Cricetulus griseus: one gene and its partner. The protein of the gene in region 1 binds, or shares a complex with, the protein of each later gene. Links are inferred from orthologs where the notes say so. Each region holds a gene or a part of one and is shown on either strand. Other genes may lie near its edges.

Evidence for each region.
Region 2: Xab2 (region 1) and Ppie share a complex: the UniProt entries of both Homo sapiens proteins name them as parts of the XAB2 complex. The link is inferred for Cricetulus griseus from reciprocal best matches to the Homo sapiens genes XAB2 and PPIE.

What each region holds. Positions count from the first base shown.
Region 1 is NC_048597.1:88,507,814-88,518,740, forward strand, and holds the start of Xab2 (pre-mRNA-splicing factor SYF1), read right to left. Parts: upstream 5,341-10,927; 5' UTR 5,254-5,340; coding exon 5,203-5,253; intron 1,866-5,202; coding exon 1,717-1,865; intron 1,435-1,716; coding exon 1,311-1,434; intron 1,027-1,310; coding exon 829-1,026; intron 1-828. Other genes in the region: protein PET100 homolog, mitochondrial, read left to right, coding at 5,509-5,535, 6,317-6,403, 6,572-6,604, 7,173-7,256; Pcp2 (Purkinje cell protein 2 homolog), read right to left, coding at 7,386-7,505, 8,634-8,758, 8,929-9,043, 9,631-9,681. UniProt on the Homo sapiens protein: Involved in pre-mRNA splicing as component of the spliceosome. Involved in transcription-coupled repair (TCR), transcription and pre-mRNA splicing.
Region 2 is NC_048595.1:29,855,737-29,865,932, reverse strand, and holds the start of Ppie (peptidyl-prolyl cis-trans isomerase E), read right to left. Parts: upstream 9,996-10,196; 5' UTR 9,926-9,995; coding exon 9,895-9,925; intron 8,991-9,894; coding exon 8,892-8,990; intron 7,083-8,891; coding exon 7,039-7,082; intron 6,409-7,038; coding exon 6,382-6,408; intron 5,512-6,381; coding exon 5,430-5,511; intron 4,815-5,429; coding exon 4,714-4,814; intron 3,609-4,713; coding exon 3,485-3,608; intron 553-3,484; coding exon 367-552; intron 1-366. UniProt on the Homo sapiens protein: Involved in pre-mRNA splicing as component of the spliceosome. Combines RNA-binding and PPIase activities.

The DNA of each region.
Region 1 (10,927 bases):
GGATGTGATGTGGCTAGCTTCTGTTCGATGTACATCTGAACCATGAGCCAAAACAAACCCTCTCCCTGTAAGATTGTTTCAGGGTGTTTTGTCACAGCCACAGGAAGAGGAACTGAGGCAGTAATATAGCCTGGGCCTTCAGCCTCAGACCTGAGTGGTCCAGCCTTGGCCATTCCTTTAGCCTTGACACCTCTCTGATTGGGGATGTCCTTCTGTATGCCATGAATATGTTTCTCTTATTGGTTGATGAATAAAGCTGTTTTGGCCAATGGACAGGCAGGATGTAGCCAGGCAGGAAGTGTAGGTGGGGCTACCAGACTACAAGAATTCTGGGAAGAGGAATGGAGAGAGTGAGTCTCCATCACTGTAAGTCAACACAGATTGTGGAAAAGGTGTAAGGCAAAAGCTAACTACTTAGAAACTAAAGATAATAAACCACAGGGCTTGGGAGAAGGATCAGTACAAAGCGTTTGCCTTGCAAGTGTGAGGACTGGAGCTTGCATCCTTAGAACCCACATAAACACTGGCTAGCATGGTAGCACTGGAGGGGCAGAGAGAGGGGATTGCTGGGGCTAGCTAGAACTAGCCAAATCTGGTTCTGGCTGGTATGCTCTGGGTTCAGTAAGCAATCCCACCTCAATGAAGTGGACAGTAATTGAGGAAGACATCCAGTGTCAAGTTTGGGCCTCTACATGCATGGGTATGCAAAACACACCCACACACCATAGGAGCCTCTTCCTGCAGCCTATCTGTTGCATGAGGGCCCTTATCCCAGTGAGTCAAGGTTTGGAAGCCGACCTGGGAACAGGACTATTCAATGGTGCTTACCTTGAGGAAGCGACGGTAGCCTCTCACAGCAGTCTCAGGCAGTGGGTGGGAGCGCAGGAATCGAAGATACAGGGGCCAGATGCGAGAGTGCTGTGTGATGGGTAGTGCCCGGAGGGCGCGATCAAAGGTGCGGCGGGTGTGTGTTACTCGTCCCTGGTCCATGAGGAACTGGCAGTAGTCTAGCCACAGACGTGGCATCTGGAAATAATGGAAAGTGATGGGTGAGGCATGTCTGAGCCACAGGCTCCATGGCTTGCTTACCATCCACATCTAGGACATAAGGGCAGCAGGGAGGCAATAGGTCTCATTACCCCTCACTCAGGCTCTGTAAATAAGCCAACTCGTTAGTTCCTCAAGTAGGTGGAGCATTTTGGTGGACCTATACTTTATTTTGCTGGAGCACTATAAGGAAGGGGTAGACACCTGTTTACATCTCCCTGGGAAAATAGTTCCCACTGCATACCCCTTCCCCAGCTCCCCACCTTGTGCATGAACACAAAGGCCCTCTCGTGGCAGTTGTTGACATCTTCATAGGCAGGGTCAGTCACGCAGCGATGCTTCACCTGTGCCCGGCGTGCCTTCAGATAGCGGTACCAGAGTTTGTAGCTAGAGAGCAGTGAAGACAGATATGGCTTATGGAACTCTAGAACCCTTTCCTTGCTCCAGAGGCAACTGTGGTACAAAAAGGGACTGAGGAGGGGTGAGAGTTCTTACAAGGAAGGGAAATACTGGGAATGAGGAAAGGTGTAACCCAGCAGGGGTTGTGAATATACAGGATATATAAGGGAATACACAGTGATCATCTGGGACACATTACTACTTGTGTGTGACTGTATATGGAGGGGTGGGGGCTGGTGAGCAGGGTAGCACAGAGAAGGCCATTTGTACCTGCAGGGAAGCAGCTTGAGTGCCCGCTCATACAACTGATTGAGCCGTGGTTTTGGGGCCCCCTGTTTGAACTCGATGTAACGAAGCCAGCATTTGACGGAGAACTGGTTCCTCATGATTTCTTCCTCATAGGGAAGGTCCTCTTCCTCCTGCCAGAGCCAGGGAAGGGGAGGAGAGAGGCCCATCCTTAGTCTCAGTGGAGTCACACCCCACACAGGGTTTAGTGCCAAACTCTAGGCTTCTACTACAATTCTATGCTCCTCCAAAAGGCAGTGGTGCAAGCTTATACTCCCATCACTTCAGAGGCAAAAAGACCAAAAGAACAAAAGAATTGTTTTTGTTCAAAAGAACAAAACAAATGGGAGGTTGGTGAAAAGCTCAGCGGGTATAGGCACCTGCCACCAAGCCTGAGGACCTGAGTTCAATCCACATGGTAGGAGAGAATCAATGTCTTCTACTTTCCACTTGCACACAAGTGGCACATACGGTTTACCTCTCGAACATGCTAAAATTACAAAACAAACAGGAGTGGAAGGATGACCTAGTCCATAGGCATGAGCATGATAACCTGGTTCAGAACACCCATGTAAACGCCAGGCATGGCAGTGTGTATCTATAATCCCAGTGCTGGTCAAGCACACACAGGGAGATCCCTGCAGCCCATTAGCCAGCCAGTGAGCTTCAGGTACAGTGAGAAGACTTTTGTCTCAAAAAGTAAGATGGAGAGCAACTAAGGAATACAGCTAACCTCTCTTTTTGGCCAATACACAGTCACACATTACAAACACACTATACTTAAAAACAAACAGGGCTGAGGGCTGGAGACATGGGTCAGTAGTTAAGAGCTCTTGCAGAGGACTCGAACTTATCCTCATCTTCCCTGCGCTCGTATCAGACAGCTCAGAACCACCTGTAACTCCAGCCTCTGTCAACACCACACACACACACACACACACACACACACACACACTTTTTTTTCTTCTTCTTTTGAAACAAGGTTTCCCTGTGAAACAGTCCTGCCAGTCCTGGAACTCACTCTGTAGACCAGGCTGGCCTTGAACTCAAGAGATCTGCCTGGCTCTGCCCGCCAAGTGATGGGATTAAAGATGTGCTCACATAAACATGATTAAAAAAAAAAAAAAAAAAGCCAGGCATTGGTGGTGTATGCCTTTAATCCCAGCACTTGGGAGGCAGAGGCAGGTGGATCTCTGTGAGTTAGAGGCCAGCCTGGTCTCCAGAGCGAGTGCCAGGATAGGCTCCAAAGCTACACAGAGAAACCCTGTCTCAAAAAACAAAAAACAAAAACAAAACTTTAACAAATAAAGAAACACAACATAGCAGTGTCCCAGGCATGGTTTCTTCTTCTGTTGAAATGGGATTACCAGTCACTCAGATGCTAGAGTAGTGGTTCTCAGCCTGTGGGTTGCAACCCCTTTGAGGGGACAAAGAACGCTTTCCAGGTGTCGCGTAAAACCATCAGAAAACACAGATGTTTATATTGTGATTCATAACAGCAGCAAAAAAAACAAACAAACAAACAAACAAACAAAAAACCTAGTTATGAAGTAGCAATGAAAATAATTTTATGGTTGGGGGTCATCAAAACATGTAGAAAAGTATTAAAGGGTCACAGCATTAAGAAGGTTGAGAACCACTGTGTTAGAGTGTTAGTTCAGACCTCTGGCCCTCAGAACTCAACTGTCCACACAGACTTCTCAGCCACTAGTGGTTAATGAGATATCAGCTGTGGCCAGTAAATTCTACTGCCCACTTCCTGATCACAATCCCCACACTCTAAAAAATTCTTTGACAATTTCATACACATATGCAGTGAATTTTAGACATTTTCACCATCTATTATCCTCTCCCATGCAATCCCATAATCTCCAGACTTGCATAACACCAGGGCCCAGGTCCAGGTGCCAAGCCTTTGCCACGAACAGCAGGTTGTATTAATTACAACACACTTCTTCCCAGACATTAGGCCTTTGTTCCCCATGCTCACACTGTCACCATATCTTTATACCAGGCCCAGATAACGAAGGTTTACACACAGACACAGACACAGACACACACACACCCCTACCTGCCAGAGTCTCACTTTTTGCTCTGGCTGTCCTGAAACTCACTATGTAGACTACACTGCCTTCAAACTCACAGAGATCTGCCTACCTCTGCCTCCCAAGTGATGGAATCAAAGGTATGTGCTACTACACTGGGCTCAAAATTTTAATGTTTTTTTTTTTTAAAGCTTTATTTATTATGTATACAGTGTTCGGCCTGTATGCAGAAGAGGGCACCAGATCTCATTACAGATGGTAGTGAGCCACCATGTCGTTGCTGGGAATTGAACTCAGGACCTCTGGAGGAGCAGCCAGTGCTCTTAACCTCTGAGCCATCTCTCCAGCCCAATTTTAATGTTTTTAATTAATTAATTTTTTTCTTCCAGCTTCCTCTAGGAGGCAGGTACAGGTGGATCTCTATGAGTCCAAGGACAGGCTGGTCTACAGTAAGTTCCAGTCCAGTCAGGGCTACATAGTGAGATCCTATCTCAAACAAAAATAATTTGTGTGTTTGTGTATACATTCATGTACACACATGTGGGAGCTGGTGCTGGCAGAGGCTGGAGGTCCTCTTCAATTGCTCTCCACCTTATTTTTGAGACAGGGTCTCTCACTAGCATTTTATGTAGGTGTTAGGATTCTGAACTGAGGTCTTACACTTGTATAGCAAGCACTTTACCAACTGCGCCACCTCCTCAGCCCCAGGTGACTAAATCTTTACTTAAGCCACCTAGTCCATCAAACTTCTGGCCCTCCAGGATCCCATTAACCTGTACTTTAGCTCAACTTTATCCCAGACATTGCAAGCTAAAGGTTTTACATTCTCAGGAGGTGGGATGCATGCGTGCGTGCGTGTGTGTGTGGTGGGATATAGATCAATTGTAGAGTGCTTGCTTTGCATGCACGAGACCCTTGGTTAAACACACAACCCCGTTATGGCCCTTAACCCAGACCACTATGAACGCGGTTTAAATATGAGGCCTCTATTTCAGCCACCAAATTTTCACCTTTTTAGGATTCTAGGGGCTATCTACATCACTAGACTTTTCTTCATACTCCAAGGTTCTTGTAGCCCCAGAAATCAAGGTGCCATCCAGAAGCCACAACTCGAACCTTGCCACTATGCCTATCAACATCCATGCCGTTCCCCTGCTATCCCATTCCCCTCTTGACCTCACTTCTCCCGGCCCGAGACATCTAGGCCTTAACCTCAACAGCAGCCCCTCACTCAGGCGACGAAAGATCCGGTTCTTTAATCCCGGCATGGCCAATGTTTTGACATGTCGCCTTTGGCTCGTTAGGCTCTCCATGGATTGGACAAGCACAGTCTGGGTCTACACGCCCGAGAGTCAGATTCCGACCCTGGAAGGACTAGCTTCGGGTCTTCCCTCGCGGAGCACCCGTGGCCTCGCTGCAGACTTACAAAAACAAGATCCGGCCGCTCGGGACGCGGTACTCGCGCCATCACCACCATCTTCCTGGCACTCCAGGTACAGACGAGAGTCGTGCTCTGATGGCGTCATTCACAGAAGGCCCGCCCCCTCCGACCAGACCCGTATCGTCAAGGCTGTGACCGGAAGCAGAGAGGGGGCGCCGGAAGATGACGCAGCCAACGAGAGGTTATGGCCACTCAGCTTCAGTATTGCTTCTTGAGATGCACCAATGAGATTTTGCATTGCTGGAGAATCGCCTTTGGGCGGAAGTGGCTTCGTAGAACCGGAAAAGCGAGATGGGGGTGAAGCTGGAGGTGTTTCGGGTCAGTGAGCCCAGGAGTGTGTCGGACGTGTGGACCCAGGCTCTTTCTGAATTTGAGGATAGATGTGGGAAGTGAGAGAAGTGCAGAGTGGGGAGTTCCACGGAGAAAGTATCTGAGCTGTGTGTTGGAACCCCCGCGGAAGGAGCGCTAGGTGTGGGGGCTTTGAATGGAGAGTCTGGGTTTGGCCCGAGGAAGCGTCTCAGTGAGGGTGAAGGGAGGCTTCAGATACAGAGCGGGATTTTCAGAAGGAGATCCCTGGGCTCATAATGGGCCTCAGATAGGCTTACTCCTAGATGTAGGAGAGTATGATTGAAAAAACGAGGCCCCTCTATTTGAAATGTTTCGACGATCAGGTTGGGAGGTAATAACGTCTGAAGGATGTGTCTTTGTAGTAGGAGCTCTTGAACTGTTGCCTCCCCTCCCCCGTCCTCCACCGCGCTCCTTTATGCACGCCTCTCTCCCCCCCTTGCTCTGCCTCTCTCCCCCTCCCCTCCCGTGTGTGTGTGTGTGTGTGTGTGTGTGTGTGTGTGTGTGTGTGTGTGTGTGTGTGTGTGTTTAGGACAGGACTATTACGAATAAAGCTTTCTGACTCATGAAGCCCAGGCTTTAAGGTGCCGGGTTTCCGTTCTCCTGGTAGGATTTCTGGGGCTCCGGGGGAGGAGCTGAGGCCGGGATCCTGACCTGTGTAGGAGGATAGATCTTCTTCCGGGCTCTCCTGCAATCTCCCTGTACCAGGGTGGTGACAGTTCTGGGCTCTGTCTATCCATCTCTGCTTTTGCAGATGTCACTCTATCTCACTTTCCCCGTGGTTATGTTCTGGATCTCCAATCAGGCAGAGTGGTTTGAGGACTCTGTTATCCAGCGAAAGGTGGGTATCAGGAGAGTGCTTGCTGGATCATTCCTGGGGATGGGGAAAGCAGGGTAGGAGGCTTGGTGTTTGGGACCATTACCTGCCTCCCATGAAGTCAACCCTGCGCTGCATGTGGGACTCTGGATTCTTCTGGCTTGTGTTCTCACCTGTGACTTTGTCCCACAGAGGGAGCTGTGGCCACGAGAGAAGGAGGGTCAGGTAAGTAACCCATTCTTCCAGGGGGCTTGGAATACATTTCACCCTCAGCCTCAAATAGGAAATTGGAAACAGAAAAATGAATAGGAGTTCCAGGCTATCCAGAGCTAGAGACCTTGTTTCCACACACGTTTCTTACTGTTCATGATGTATACGCCTGCGATCATTTGGAAGCAGGGGTAGGAGGATTACCAGATTGAAACCAGCCTGGGCTGTATAGGGCTAGAGAGAGGGAGCCTGGAAGAGGGGGAGGTAATTCCAGCATTCCAGCACTTAGGAGATGGTTACAGGAGAATTGGGAATTCTGGATATTTTCTGCTGCATAGTGAGCTCAAGGCTAGCCTGTGGTATGTAAGACCCTGTCTTAGAAAGTGGGAGGACACAAATGATTTAATATTTTACCTTCTCCCTGAAGGATGAATTGAATGCACTGGTATGGTAGTTATGATTGGCATGGGGTCCCAGTATGGATACTGAACTCTCAAGCCAAAGGGAGGGTAGTGGGAGTAAGTCCAGGCCCTGAGGTGTGTGCCCCTCCTTCCTTTCTGTCACACCCCTTTCTTCATTCCAGCGCCAGGAACTAGAAGAATTCAAACAGAAGATCCGGAAGCAGAGGGAAGAGAGACTTCTTAAAGCTGCTCAGCAGAACCCCTGAGACCTCCAAGTCCTCAAGTCCCAGCCCCTCCACCCAGGAAATAACACACACTCAATTCTTTGTTAATAGTGCCAAGTGTTTTATTGTTCTTTTCAGGGGCCAGTCTGGGGCCCAGGATGACTAGAACTCTCAAGGAGCTTGTGTCTGGGGTTGGGGGCTGCTGTTCCTGCGGAAGCTGAGTGCAGCAGGGTCCTGAGGGGTGAGCAGGGGTTGAGGGCTGAGGGTCCCAGGTCGTTTCTGCATTCCATCCTGCAGATGAAGAAGGGTCAGAAATAGGGAGGGGACCAAGAAAGTGCAAGCCAGAGAGGTGCCTCCACACAACATTTCTTTTTGTCTGCCAATCAGGGTGGTATTTGATGACATGGTTAGCTCCCAGTGGGGTCTTGATCAGAACCTGGGCTGTTGGTTTACACCTGTAATCCCAGCACTCAAGAAGAGGATGGAGAATTATCTCAGGGTCAAAGCCACCTGGTCTACACAAAAAGTTCCAGGTTCATAACCCTGACTCAAAAACAAACAAATAAATGGGCTGAGGAGATAACTCAGTCATTAAAATCCTTGCTGTGTACACAGGGAGACCTGAGTTTAATCCCCAACCCCAAAGTGAAAAGCCAGATGTGGCCTTATGCACTTGTAATCTCGGTCAGTGCTTGAGTAGTCAGGAGGATCCCTAGGGAATCCTGGTCTACTTGGTGAGTTCCAGGGCAGCAAAAGATCCTGTCTCAAATAACAAGGTGATGGCAGCGCCTGAGGAACAGTTTCAAGGTTGACTTCTGGCCTCCACCTGCATATGGGCACATGAACCTGTAACATGTATGCTAGTGTACCCAGACACAGGATTGAGGGTGTAGCTCAGTTGGCAGAGAATTCACCAAAGTTCTAGATTCCATCCCCAACCACACAGATGCTCCTGGTGGCTCACACCTGTAACACTAGCACCCAGGAGGTACATGTAGGAAAACTGAAAGTCTAAAGTCATCATTGGCTAGTGCATTTGAGGTCACCTGGAGCTACATGAAACCCTATTGCAAAAAACAATAAAACAAAACACTCCAAACAACCCATGTTCTTCATTAATATGGGTGTGTGAGCTCATATGCCCTCCTCCCACCAGGGTGACCATAGGAAAACTGTTTTCTCCCTGTGCCCTTTCTCAGATACACAGATGTTGTGGCAGGAGCTGTGACTTCCAGCCATGCCTCTGATACCAGAATGAGCCCTGTATGATCTTCAGCCCCTCTGACATCCACCTGCACTTTCCTTTCCCAGAGTTCAAGACGTGTAGAGATAGGGTCCCATCCTATTTTGGCTGGAGATGGGGCATAGACCTAGAGAGTTACACTGCTACACTCCACAGGTTATTGAGACATCACCTACCTTGGGACCGATAGGTTGGAAGCCAGGCAGGGAATTGACTGTTACCCGCTGATCATCCATGCGGCGGCCCTGGGTGTCTGCCAGCATATCCATGAGGTTATCCATCTCTGGAGCAGAGCCACCCTCTACTTGGAGCAGAGACAGGTGGGCCATAGATACAGACTCCAAAGGAGGTCACATGGTGCTCCCCACCCTGACTCCCAAGACCCACAAAATCTCAGGACCCCTTCATCCCTGCCACATTTGCTTCTCAGGAAGCACCCCCCACCCCAATCCTGCAGCGTGTCCAGCTTACGGCTTTCTGGGGTCTGGCCCGGACCAGTCTGCAAGGAACAGCGTTGCTCCTCCATCCGATCGCCCTGTACGTGGCTCAGCAGGTTGAAGAAGCCTTCTTGGTCTGGTGAACCTGCCTTGGGGACAGATATGCTTGGTTTAGTTGGGTGCTGTACAGTTCCTGTCTTCCTTCCAGCTCCCACCTGAACCGGTGTCTGCCTTCCCATCTCTGCTCTCACCATAGTCCTCACAGGTCTGTAGAGTTTCTCCAAATGAAACGTGAGTCTCCTTCCCTGACCTATCCCTACCCCCCACCCCCACCCCCTGCCCCCTACCTCCCAGCCTGGGGCCCCAGCCTGCAGCACAATTTTACAAGGTACTGCCTCTAGAGACAGTATTCCACCACTGTCCTAGATCAAGACCAGACTGGTGATGGTTTGGGGGGTTGGGACGCTTACCAAGGAAATGGGGCTCAGAAGTGCCCCTAAATCATAACATCTACCATCTCTTGGGGGAGACAGTACTAAGAATCCATCCATTTGCCCTGGGCAGGGGGAGGATGCTTATACCCTCCTACTACTCCCCCCATGTGTTATGGTAACTGGGTCAGAGGACCCCAGAGACTTGCTTGCTAATTAGATGCCCTACAAATGAAGTGATCCTGCCAATCACGGGTGCTGAGACCTCAAGGAGCTGGTGGTAGAGTCAGGCAGAGCCCTCTTACCTTGTCCAGAAGGTCTGAGGCCCCCTCGCCCCTTGCTTCTTTCTGATCCATCATGTGTCTCTCCCACACTTTCCTCCTGGCCTGTGTCAGGTCCCCCACACCTGAAAGGGCCTTTTAAAGGGCCAGGATGTGGGGGGGGAGGGGGGCAGATACTTTCCCCATCCCCAAATCCCCAGCTCACATCCCATCTGCTCCCATCCACGCTTAAGCCCCAGAAAGATGATCTCTAGGTAATTGTTCATCCAGACTGATGCTGAGGTGGGTGTGGGTGGAGGGGGTGGGTGTGGGTGGAGGGGGTGGGGCAGTCTTGGTTAGGACCTCACTGGGCACAGCCATGTTCACAGGGCCTTGAGGATTCTCAAGTGGGGCCAGGAAGAAGCCAGTGCAATGTTGAAGACCAACCAACAGGAGGGTGGAGCCTGCACAATGTCCCTACCCAAGCCATCCAGTTGCTGTCTGTAGGTTCATCCCCTTGCAGGGCAGGTGACATCTGCAGGGGGATAGCCAAGGAGGTAGTTAGGGGTCTACAACTCCTCTTCAAATCCCTGTACCCTCCACAGACACACAAGGCAACTTGGCTCATGATCCTCACCACCTCTGAGGTCCTGTAGCACCCCTAGGGCCACCCTGAAAGAAACTTCAGATCTCCTGTTCATCTGCCCCTCAAAGGCCAAGTTAAGTGTCTTCAGTCTCTCATTGCCACATAGAACAGGAGAGGAAGTCCCTGTCTACCACAGCAAACAGCTGTGGCTTTCTGACCGTGCCCTGAGAACCTGGTCCTGTCTCCAAGAGCCTTTTAGGAAACCAGTTAAGCTCCTTTTCCAGGACTAGAGAGACTCCTGGGTAAGAGCACTGGCTGCTTTTCTAGAGTCCTAGGTTCAATTCCCAGCACCTGCATAGCAGCATACAACCTTCTGTAACTCTGGTTCAAGGGGATCTATTGCTCTCTTCTGGCCTTCCTGGGCACCAGGCGCACTCATGGTGTACAGATATACATACATACAGGCAAAAATACTTACACATAAAATAGAACAAACCTTTTAAAAAGTCCAAATAAGTTAAAAAGTTACATTTTTCTTTTGGGGGTGAGTGGATGGGATTTGTATATTTAGTGTATGTGTGCACATGTGGTGTGTGCATGATCTTGTAAAGACCACAGGTACACATGAGGTATTCTCCCTCTCTCACTACCTACCTTCTTTTGAGACACAGACTGAAAAAATTAAACCTTGAGCTCCTGGCTTCGGCAAGACTGGCCGGGCATCGAACATTCTGGCTTTAAAAGTACTTTTATATT
Region 2 (10,196 bases), on another chromosome or scaffold:
CAGAAGATGCCAACTTCCTAAGTAGGGCAGAGGGACAGACTCCCTCATGAGGAGGGATGGCCTCTATAACAGGAGGGAAGTCAGAGCATGTAAGCAGGAGGTGTCAGGAAGAAAAACAGGCATGGGACTGAAGGTGTGCGTACGGGGGTGCAGAGAGGTTGAGAGCACAAGGAAGTTTGCAATGATAACCACAAACTCTAGGCTAGCAAAGAATAGCAACTTGTGGCATGAAGGTGGGATGTGAAGAGAACAAGATGGGAGGAAAGCAGCTCATCCCAGCATGTGGGCTGGCCAACTGCAGCCCGTCCTGACAGCCACAGTCTGCCCTGGCCCTACCTTACCCACCACACCAGACATAGCACTTACCTGGTCCTGTGTGTTTGAGAATGAAGTTTTCATCATCGAACTTCTTTCCATAAATGGACTTGCCCCCTGTGCCGTTGTGGTTTGTGAAATCACCGCCCTGGCACATGAACTGGGGGATGATGCGGTGGAAGCTGCTTCCCTTGAAGCCAAAACCCTTTTCGTGGGTGCACAGGCAACGGAAATTCTCTGATGTTGAGAAAGGAAAAGGTGCTGAGGTTGACAACAACCTAGATTCCTGACAAAAATTAAGGTACCTACCCAGAAAGATGAGGGGTTATGAAAGTGGGGGAAATAAAACATGTTTTACTCATTTACTTTTGCACAGCTGCTCCTGAGTATCCACATGTGGAAGGTTCCCAGGACTCTACATTATCTATGATACACAATACAATATAAACGCTCCATAAATGGTTGTTATCTACATTATCTAGGATATATAAAGGGGGCAATACAAGCATGCTTAGTAGAAATGCAATGTTCCCCTCAAATATATTTAAAATTCTTTATTGCATTCATTTATTGTATATCTATTGTACATGTGTGTATAGGTCTGAGGACAACTTATAGGGCTTGAACTCAGGTTACCAGACTTGGTAGCAGACACTTTAACCTGCTGAGCCATCTCACTGGCCCATCACGTATTTCTGCTGTGGTTCACTAAATTCACAGATGTGGATCCCACGGATGGAGAGGGCTAACTGTATTCTCATCTTATGTTGCTTATAAGCCTTTACAATACTGAACTACTGCATAACACATGCCACTCCGATTAAATAGGACAGAATATGTGCATTCTACCTCTGCTGTATCCCCAAACCATACTAAATAGATAAAGAAATGATTTTTTTCAATAATTTATTTGTATTTTATGTACATTGGCATTTTGCCTGCATGTATGTCTGTGTGACGGTGTCAGATACCCTGGAGTAGGAGGAGTTATGGATAGTTGTGAGCTGTCATGTAGGTGCTGGCAATTGAATCTGGGTCCTCTGGAAGAGCAGACAGTGCTCTTAACCACCGAGCTATCTTTCCAGCCTGATTGATTTTTTTTTTTTTTAAGATTTATTTTATGCACACGGTGCTCTATCTGCATATATACCTGCATGCCAGAAGAGGGCATCAGATCCCATCATAGATGGCCTTGAGCCAGGTGGGTGCTAGGAATTGAACTCATGACCTTAGGAAGAGCAGCCAGTGTTTGTAACTGCTGAGCCACCTCTCCAGTCTCATGAAGTAATTTTTTTTTTGAGATTTGTTTATTTATTATGTATGTATGTATGTATCCCTGTAGGCCAGAAGAGGGCACCAGACTACATTATAGATGGTTGTGAGCCACCGTATGGTTGCTGGGAATTGAACTCAGGACCTCTGGAAGAACAGGCAGTGCTCTTAACCCCTGAGCCATCTCTCCAGCCCTGAAAGTGATTTTTTTAAAAAAAAAAAAAAAAAAAAAAAAAAGGAGAGAAAAAAAGAAAAAACCAGGGCCAGTCGGACAGCTCAGTAAGTAAAGGCAGGCACTTACTGTGCAAGCCTAGAGACCCAAGTTTGAACCACAGAATCCAGGTGAAAGTGAAAGGACAGAATTGACTGTTAAGTGGTACTTTCCTCCAAGATAAAGCTTCCCAGGCTGGAGGAAAGCTTGTTAAGACTTAGGGTGTTCCAAAAAAACTCAGGATGTTTATCCTTCAAGCTCCTTGTCAATTCAGGAAGTCCCTGAAACTGACCACATTCAATGGGATCCTTTCTTCCCTAAGCAGGAAGAACTGCTGAGAGACACTGTCAGACAAATGGAGCTCCCTGTAGTCTCAAACCACCAGAGTAGCCTGGAAAACCACTCTCTAATCTGTCAATCGGCTGGAAGCTGTACAGTTAGCACCAGGTTCCTAGCTTTTACAAGCCACTATGAGCCTTTGGTAATGCAGCTTACTTTGGGTCAATTTCTGTTCCTGTAAGTAACTACTTACTCATACTCCTGTAAGAACCATAAAGTCACTGGCTCACCAAGCTGAACTTTATGGTATTTTTTTTTCTTTGTTGAGTAGACATTTGTTCATGTCTTTCCTGGAACTCTTAAAGGTTGTCTTCTAACCTCCATATGTGTCACACACATGCACATACACAATAATTTGTTTTTGATACAAGGTCTCACTATGTAGCTCTGGCTAGTCTGGAACCCTTCTATGTAGTCCAGGCTGGCCTGGAACTCAAGAGATCTGCCTCCCAAATGCTGGGAATAAAGGGGTATGCCACCACACCCGGCAACGCTAATTTTTTCTGAGATTTCTTTTTTAAAAATCCTGTTCATGTAATGTGTCTGTATGCTAGTATGTACATGTGAAAGTGGGTGCAAGAAGAGGCATCAGATTCCTTGGAGCTAGGGTGACAGGTATCTGTGAGCTGCCTAACCAAACTTATAGTAACTACCAAGACAGATAAGGAGGTGTGGAAGGGGGAAACAGCTAATTCCTTTTCAGGGGCAGTAAATCAAAAGAAAGGCTTAAACTGAAAACACACACACACACACACACACACACACACACACACACACACACACACACACACACACAAAAGGGAGGGGTAAATATATATCTATTATCTTCTAATGTGGAAGTCAAAACCAAAATAATTAGCTAAGAAATGAAACTAGCTCCCTATTATTATAAAGCAACTAATGATTTTACAAACCAACTTTTGTGATAACTTAAGTTATATGTATATATAGTAAAACTTATATTAAAAAATAAGTCAATATTTTAATAAACTAGAAATTGGTACCAGTTACTTCTAGGGCATAGAGCTGGATGTAATATTGTTAGAATATGTGTGTGTGATACTTTCTTTTAAACAATGAATATATTATTCGCAATGTATTTGCAATAATATATTACTTGTGTTATTTTAAAAAAACCTCTCTATTATTAAAAAATAGTAAAACAGCATTATGAAGCTTCAATGTCAGCTCTGATCTGTTTCTAGATCCCAAGACCTCAGATGCCACAAATTCATTTATTTACGTTAGAAACAACGCCAGGGGAATAAGAGCAGAGGCAGTGAGAACCTTGGGAAGACTGCTCAGCAACCAGTTTTCTGCCAATCTGACCATAGAGAATCTGATTACCTGCTGTCATGGGTACAACATCAGATCGTAGGAGCATTTGGATGCGGCCAGCTGGCTTGTTCCCAATCTTGATGTCCATGTACACCTGAGGATTTGACCGTGCTTTTTTTGTAGTGGGCTCTCCCTAGGTGCAGGAAAAAAAATACTAGTCAGAAATGCTAGTGGCTGGGCAATGGTGATGCACACCATTAATCCTAGTGGAGGCAGGTGGATCTCTGTGAGTTCTAGGCCAGCCTGATCTACAGAGCAGGCATTCCAGGGTTGTCAAGGCTACATGAAGAAACCCTGTCTCAAAAAAAAGGGAAAAAAGAACAAGAAAAATATAAATGCTAGTGCTCCTAAGTAGATGCACAAGTAATCTTTGGAGTGATGGAGGAGGTCCTTCTGTGTGTATGTTTGTCTTATTGGTTGATAAATAAAACACTGTTGGCCAATAGGGAAGCAAGACAGGTGGGACTAGAAGTCAAGGTGGATTCTGGGAAATGTAGTAAAGAGAAGTCTTGTGATACAGGAAGGAAGTGACATAGCAGGCAACTCAGAATATAAGCAGGAACAAGCAGGAAATTACTCTCTTCCTCCTCCTCTCTTCTCTGTGGAGCCACCATGTGATCCTGGCAAGAGAAGATGCCTGCCGCTGGTGTCCAATAAGATAAGTTCTTAAAAAATATATAGATTAGTAGTTATGGTTGATAACTAAGACTGAGCTAGCAAGTAAGAAATACTAGTCATTGGCCAGCAGCATTGTACCTAATATAAGTCTCTGTGTGTTATTTTGGGCACCCATGTGGGGGGGGCAGTTCGGGCGGCCTGGCAGAAAGAGTTATCCTTACACAAGAGGTCTGCAGAAGCCAAGAGTGACTGGTACTGTTTCAGCTGAAAAAGGACAGAAAAGCCATGTGCCATGAACAAAGCATAGAAGAATGTCAACCTCACAGGGTACACAGAGGAAGTGAGTGTGCTGAGAGCCAGAACTATCTTAGGCAAACCCAGAAACCACATACTAGGGAAGGGAAGTACACTACCTGCCCTATCACTTCTATATGCAGCCAAGAATAGGACAGAGCAAGGCACCAAGGACCTCAACACAGGGGGGCTGCCTGACTGGTGTGGAGGAGCACAGATACGATCCTCACTCACTCTGCACTTTTGTAAATACATGCATCTGCAAGTGCCCATAACGATGGAAAGCAAAGTCTGTATTCTGGGAGAGGCACCACCTTCCCTCTCACCTCTTGGGTTTCTGCTTTGGGAGGTTCGGGCCCTTCTTCTTCTTTATTCTCTTCTAGAGTCTTCCCAGAAAACTTCTTCAACCAGTCATCATCTGACCAAACTAGAAGGAAAAAGACACACACATGAAGAAATCAGACTGTCCCTTACCTGCCAGGCAGATGCTTTGGTCATCTCTGTGGTCTTCTTGGCCAGAAGTTCCCTTTGAAACTGTTCAAGACCATGCTCCCACTAGGACTCCCCGGAGGTCCAGCACTTAGCAGAACTAAGGGAAAAAGCTGTGCCAAAGGCAAAGACAGGCTATGCTGGCTTCAGGCCTTTCCCAGGAATGGAGTACCAAGAAAACTGGGTGATAAGAGACCAGGCAGGGGCTGGGGGGTGGTGGCACACGCCTTTATTCCCAGAACTTGGAAGGCAGAGGCAGGCGGATCTCTGTGAGTTCCAGACCAGCCTGGTCTACAACAGCTAGTTCTAGGACAGCCTCCAAAGTCTGTCTCAAAAAACCAGAAAGAAAAAACAGACCAGGCAGGGTTCTCAAGAGGAACAATTACTTTGGCTTTGTGGCTGTTCGTCGATACAGGTAGCTCATTCCCTTGGCCAATGTGAACCACCCTCTTGTCCCCTCCACTTCTGTTAAACCAGAAGCAGCACTGAGAATACACATAAAGGAGGCCAAGCCATAGGACCTGGCAAGTACTCCATGAGGCGCCCCACTCACCTGGTCTGGAAGAGCCCTCTTTAATTCTCATTGGTTTGGCCAAATTGACACGAATTGTCCGTCCAAAGAGTTCAGATTCATTCTGAAATGATTGTAAATCCAGTTGCTTAAACTGTCAGATTAAAAATCTCCAGCAGCTTTTCATGTACTTCTGAGATCTGATCCGTCTCTTTTTTAAATCCAGATCCCTTGGCAACAAAAGCTATGCCCTCATCACAGACAGTACCAAAGAAGGAAATTACAGGAAACTTTACCCCTGGAGCCGCTGCAAACGGCTTTGTTTTTTGAGACAGGGTTTCTGTTTAACAGCCCTGGCTGCCCTGGAACTCACTCTGTAGACCAGACTGACCTCAAACTTACAGAGATCTGCCTGCCTCTGCCACCGCCTGGCTGAGATGATTAGTTTTAAAGATTTTTTTCAGAAAATTCTAGCAACAGGATACGATAACTTTGCACTTCATATCTGACATGAAATGACACGTAAGTGTCTTAGGCCAGCCACAAATCTTAAGAGTGTCATCATTTTCAAGGACTTTTCCAGGCTGTTCTAGTCGTCTGCATCAGTAGCACAGCCTTCAGTTACTCTTACTGAATTTTTCTTCTCAATTGTTAACTAGTCTAACATTTTATGAAACCCTTCCCTTTTTGCAAATATGCAGTTTCAGTGAGCAATCAGTTGGCACTGGGTTCACCATTCACCATCATGTGGGGTTGCAAGTGAGAGACCAGCCAAGAAGGATGAGCAGGAAGTACACTGCTAAGTGGAGAGGTGTCCGAGCACGAACTAATTTTACCAGCAATCAGTTCACAGTGAATAGCTTTATTTGATGGCAACTTTTACCTCCCCACCCAATCGTGACACTTCAGAGATTCAGAACACCACCAGTATTTGAACAAGGACCCCTGTAGCAGCAAAGGCAACTTCAGTTAGAATGAGGGATCCCAGCCATACCATGTTGTCGATAGCTGCTGCAGCATCCTGCCAAGGAAATGCAAGGTGTAAGTTTAGGCTTGTATCTGAATGTTTCTTGCATGTCTAAATGCACAACAGGCAGCAAAATAAACTGGAAAAAGTCATCTCTGTACTTCCTGCCTAGTTTGTGTGTGAAACTAACAACACTTCTTGGGCAATTTTCGAGCTTGTAGTGGCATAATCTGCTTCTAGCTGAAGGCACAAGAGATAAACACCAGCATAGCCAGGCAAGAACGTTCTATGAACAGAGCTGTAAGAGCTTTGCAGAGCATGACAGGGTCTGACAGTCAGTCTGAGCTGTTACCAACAGATCACAGTCTGATAAGAGGCTTTCCTTCAAACAGCACTTCCAAAAGCATCAGCCTAAGACTCAAAACTTAAGTAAATGGGAAATAGCTTCCTCCACGGCAGTGGTTCTCAACCTCCCTAACGATGCACCCTTAATACAGTTCCTCATGTTGTGGTGACCCCCAACCATAAAATTATTTCGTTGATACTTCATAATTATAATTTTGCTACTGATATGAATCATAATATAAACATCTGATATGCATCCCCAAAGGGGTCACAACCACAGTTGAGAACCACTGCTCTATAACAACCAAAGACTAACCAATGGCAGTACAGAAGTCTCACCTCTGCCAACTCAAATTCAACAAAAGCAAATCCTCGGTGCTTTTCTGCAAAAAGGAAAAAGCACAATATAAGTAATTACCATGTGAGGCAATGGAAGAAAAGAGAACAGTTGCAAAGAAATCGGTCACATGCCATGTCCAGACACCAGAAATCCTACCCATTCACTATTTAGAAAGACAGAATCTCATTCTTTAATCCCTATTAAGGAATATTTAAAGCAATAATAAACATTTCTATGGATAAAGTACCTGACTGGATCCCCCCTTGGACTGGAGTTACAGATGATTGGGAGCCACAATATGAGTGCTGGAAATTTAATCTTGAATCTGGGTCCTCTGGAAGAACAGCCAGTGTTCTTATCACTGAGCCATCCCTCCAGCCCTGAACTGATTTTTGTTTGTTTTGTTTTTTGTTTTTCTTGAGACAGGGTTTCTCTGTGTAGCCTTTGCTGTCCTGGAACTCACTTTGTAGACCAGGCTGGCTTTGAACTCTTAAGAGATCTACCTGCCTCTGCCTCCTGAGTGCTGAGATTAAAGGCGTGTGTCACTACAGCCTGGCTCTGAAATCTTTACAATGAGCACCGAGGGCTGGTGAGATGGCTCAGTGGGTAAAGGAGCTTGCCATCAAGTCTGATAACCTGAGTTCAATCCCAGGATCCACATGGTAGAAGAACCAATTCCTATGGACTGTCCTCTGCCTGCTGTACCACACAGAAATAAAGGGGGAAAATATTTTAAAAGGCATTCTATTCATCTATGAAAGTCAAACATAAACCTTAACCTTTCATGCAGTGCAACTAGCAAGATAAGTTATTTAGCCTTATCAACTATTTATCCAAATATACAATTTCAATGTAGATGCCAGAGTATATAGCTGTAATGTCAACTACTTGGGAAACTAAGGCAGAATGATTACCAATTAAAGAGGCCAGCCTGGACAAAACAGTGAGACTGTTTTGAAGCAGAAACAAAACAAAACTAAAACAGGAAAAAGCCACCAACCAAATATACAGTTTTATCAACAACTACACATAAATCCTAAAATCTGGTAAGGATACTCAGCCTTTACCCCCACACAAATTCTGATCTAAGTGGAAAGCCCACACACAATAAAGTCAACTTAGTTACACAGTCCAATAGAAAGTCAGCCAGTGGTGATGGTGCAGTCTATAAACCTAGTACTCATGAGGCAGAGGCAGGCAGATCTGTGAGTTCAAGGCCAGCCTGGTCTACAGAGTGAGTTCCAGGACAGCTAGAGCTACACAGAGAAACCCTATCTCAATCTTCCACCCATAACCCCCAAAAAGTAAACAGAACTTTTTCTTTGCATGTATTTTTGCAGACAGTGTCTCACTATGAAGCCTAGACTGACCTTAAACTCTATCCTCCTGCCTCTGAAATGCTGGGATTACAGGCATGTGCTACCATGCCCAGCAACTACCGGCAAAAGATTCCCTAGACTCAGACTCAGAGAATTTAATGCTACCCCCCCCCCGTGTGTGTGTGTGTGTGTGTGTGTGTGTGTGTGTGTGTGTGCGCTCAAGGAACTGAACCATGGCCTCACATGTTGGACAAGAGCTCTACTGTGCTATAACTTCAGTCTAAGAATGCAAATTTAGAGTTGGAATGTGACTTTTTTTGTTTGTTTGCTTGCTTGTTTGTTTAGGTGGTTTTTCAAGATGATGTTTTTCTGTGTAACCCTAGCTGTCCTGGAACTCACAGAGATCCACCTGCCTCTGCCTCCTGAGTGCTGGAATTAAAGACATGTGCCACCACTGCCCATGTGACTTTAATCTTTTAAAATTCTTTTCCTATAGGAGGGTAATGAATATTAGAGACACCCAAAGGACCCACCTGTTTCATAATCCAGAGGAATCTGAATATCTGTGATGTCTCCAAAAGGGATAAAAGCAGCATGAAGAACCTTGTCGTCCACCTCTTCTGCCAGCCCACCTGCAAATAGCCAAGGACATTCTGCACCCCTGTGCGCACTCAAAAATCTCTGCAGCCCATGGGCAAGCCAGGACAGAGGGATCGTTCCATCCAGTCCTTCATCTACACAAACACCTCTCTTTCTATTGCCCACCCACGCTATGTTCCTTTCTCCAACCTTTTTTCAAACAGATCTGAATCTATCTCCAAGGTTCCACAACAGCTTCACAAGTCACCAGGGGGCCTCCATTCCCTGCGTCAAACCCCCTCCCAAAACCAGTAGGAATATTTTGTGAAAACGGAAACAAACCCATCGGTTCTCTTAGACTTCAAAGTCTTACACGTCACGGTCCTCAAGAAGACCTGAGAGCTCCTTAAATAGCAGCGTACACAGGTTATCACCTGAGCCTTACTAGCTCCCACTCAAGTTCCCCTGGGTTTCTCGAAAAAAAAAATAATAACCTACCCGCCCCCAGGCATCAGGCTATTTTACACCTTCGGGCTTCGGCTCCCGTGCAGCTAACACTTTTGCCTAACTCCTGCTCAACTTCTGCGTTCCCGGCAAGAGAAAGTTTGCACGCACCCAAGTCCCTGTCGTCATCGTTCGCCCCTACTACAGCGCTTATCAAACTGTGGTGTTTAGGCTAATTCCCACTTTCTCCTGACTAGTCTGGTAACTCCTTCCTTTAGGGCAGAGACCCAGACATTTCCGCACTAAATAAAAAGAATGGGCGGGAGGATTTGGAAGCCCATAACTCCTGTCACTGGTCGGGGTTCCTGTGCGCTTAGTGGACTAGCAAGGTCGCCGGAATGGTTCTTCCCATCTCGGCTCACACTCTCAGCCCAGCAAGCCCTCCACAGAGCCGGACTGCTCGCCGCCTTCCTCACATCCCCCAGACTCCGCCTAGCTCCCAAGCCTGCTCACCCACGTACAGCACACGCTTGGTGGTAGCCATCTTGCTCACTCCCGTTTCCGCCGGAAGCCGTCGCTCGGTACGCCCCCTTGCCGTGGCCCCTCCCCTTAGGTCCTGGCGGGTCTCTTGTGCGCCGCCACCGCAGGCTCCGCCCCTTCCCGTCTTCCGCTGGAGTCCGGTACCCACGGGGGAGTGAGGTTCGGATGCTCCCGGTGCTGGCGGTGTGGAGGAAACAAACCTTGGTTCGATTAACGGGGAATTATCGGCAGTTATGCCCCTCCACCAACACACTACCGACCGGCCTGCCCAGCCA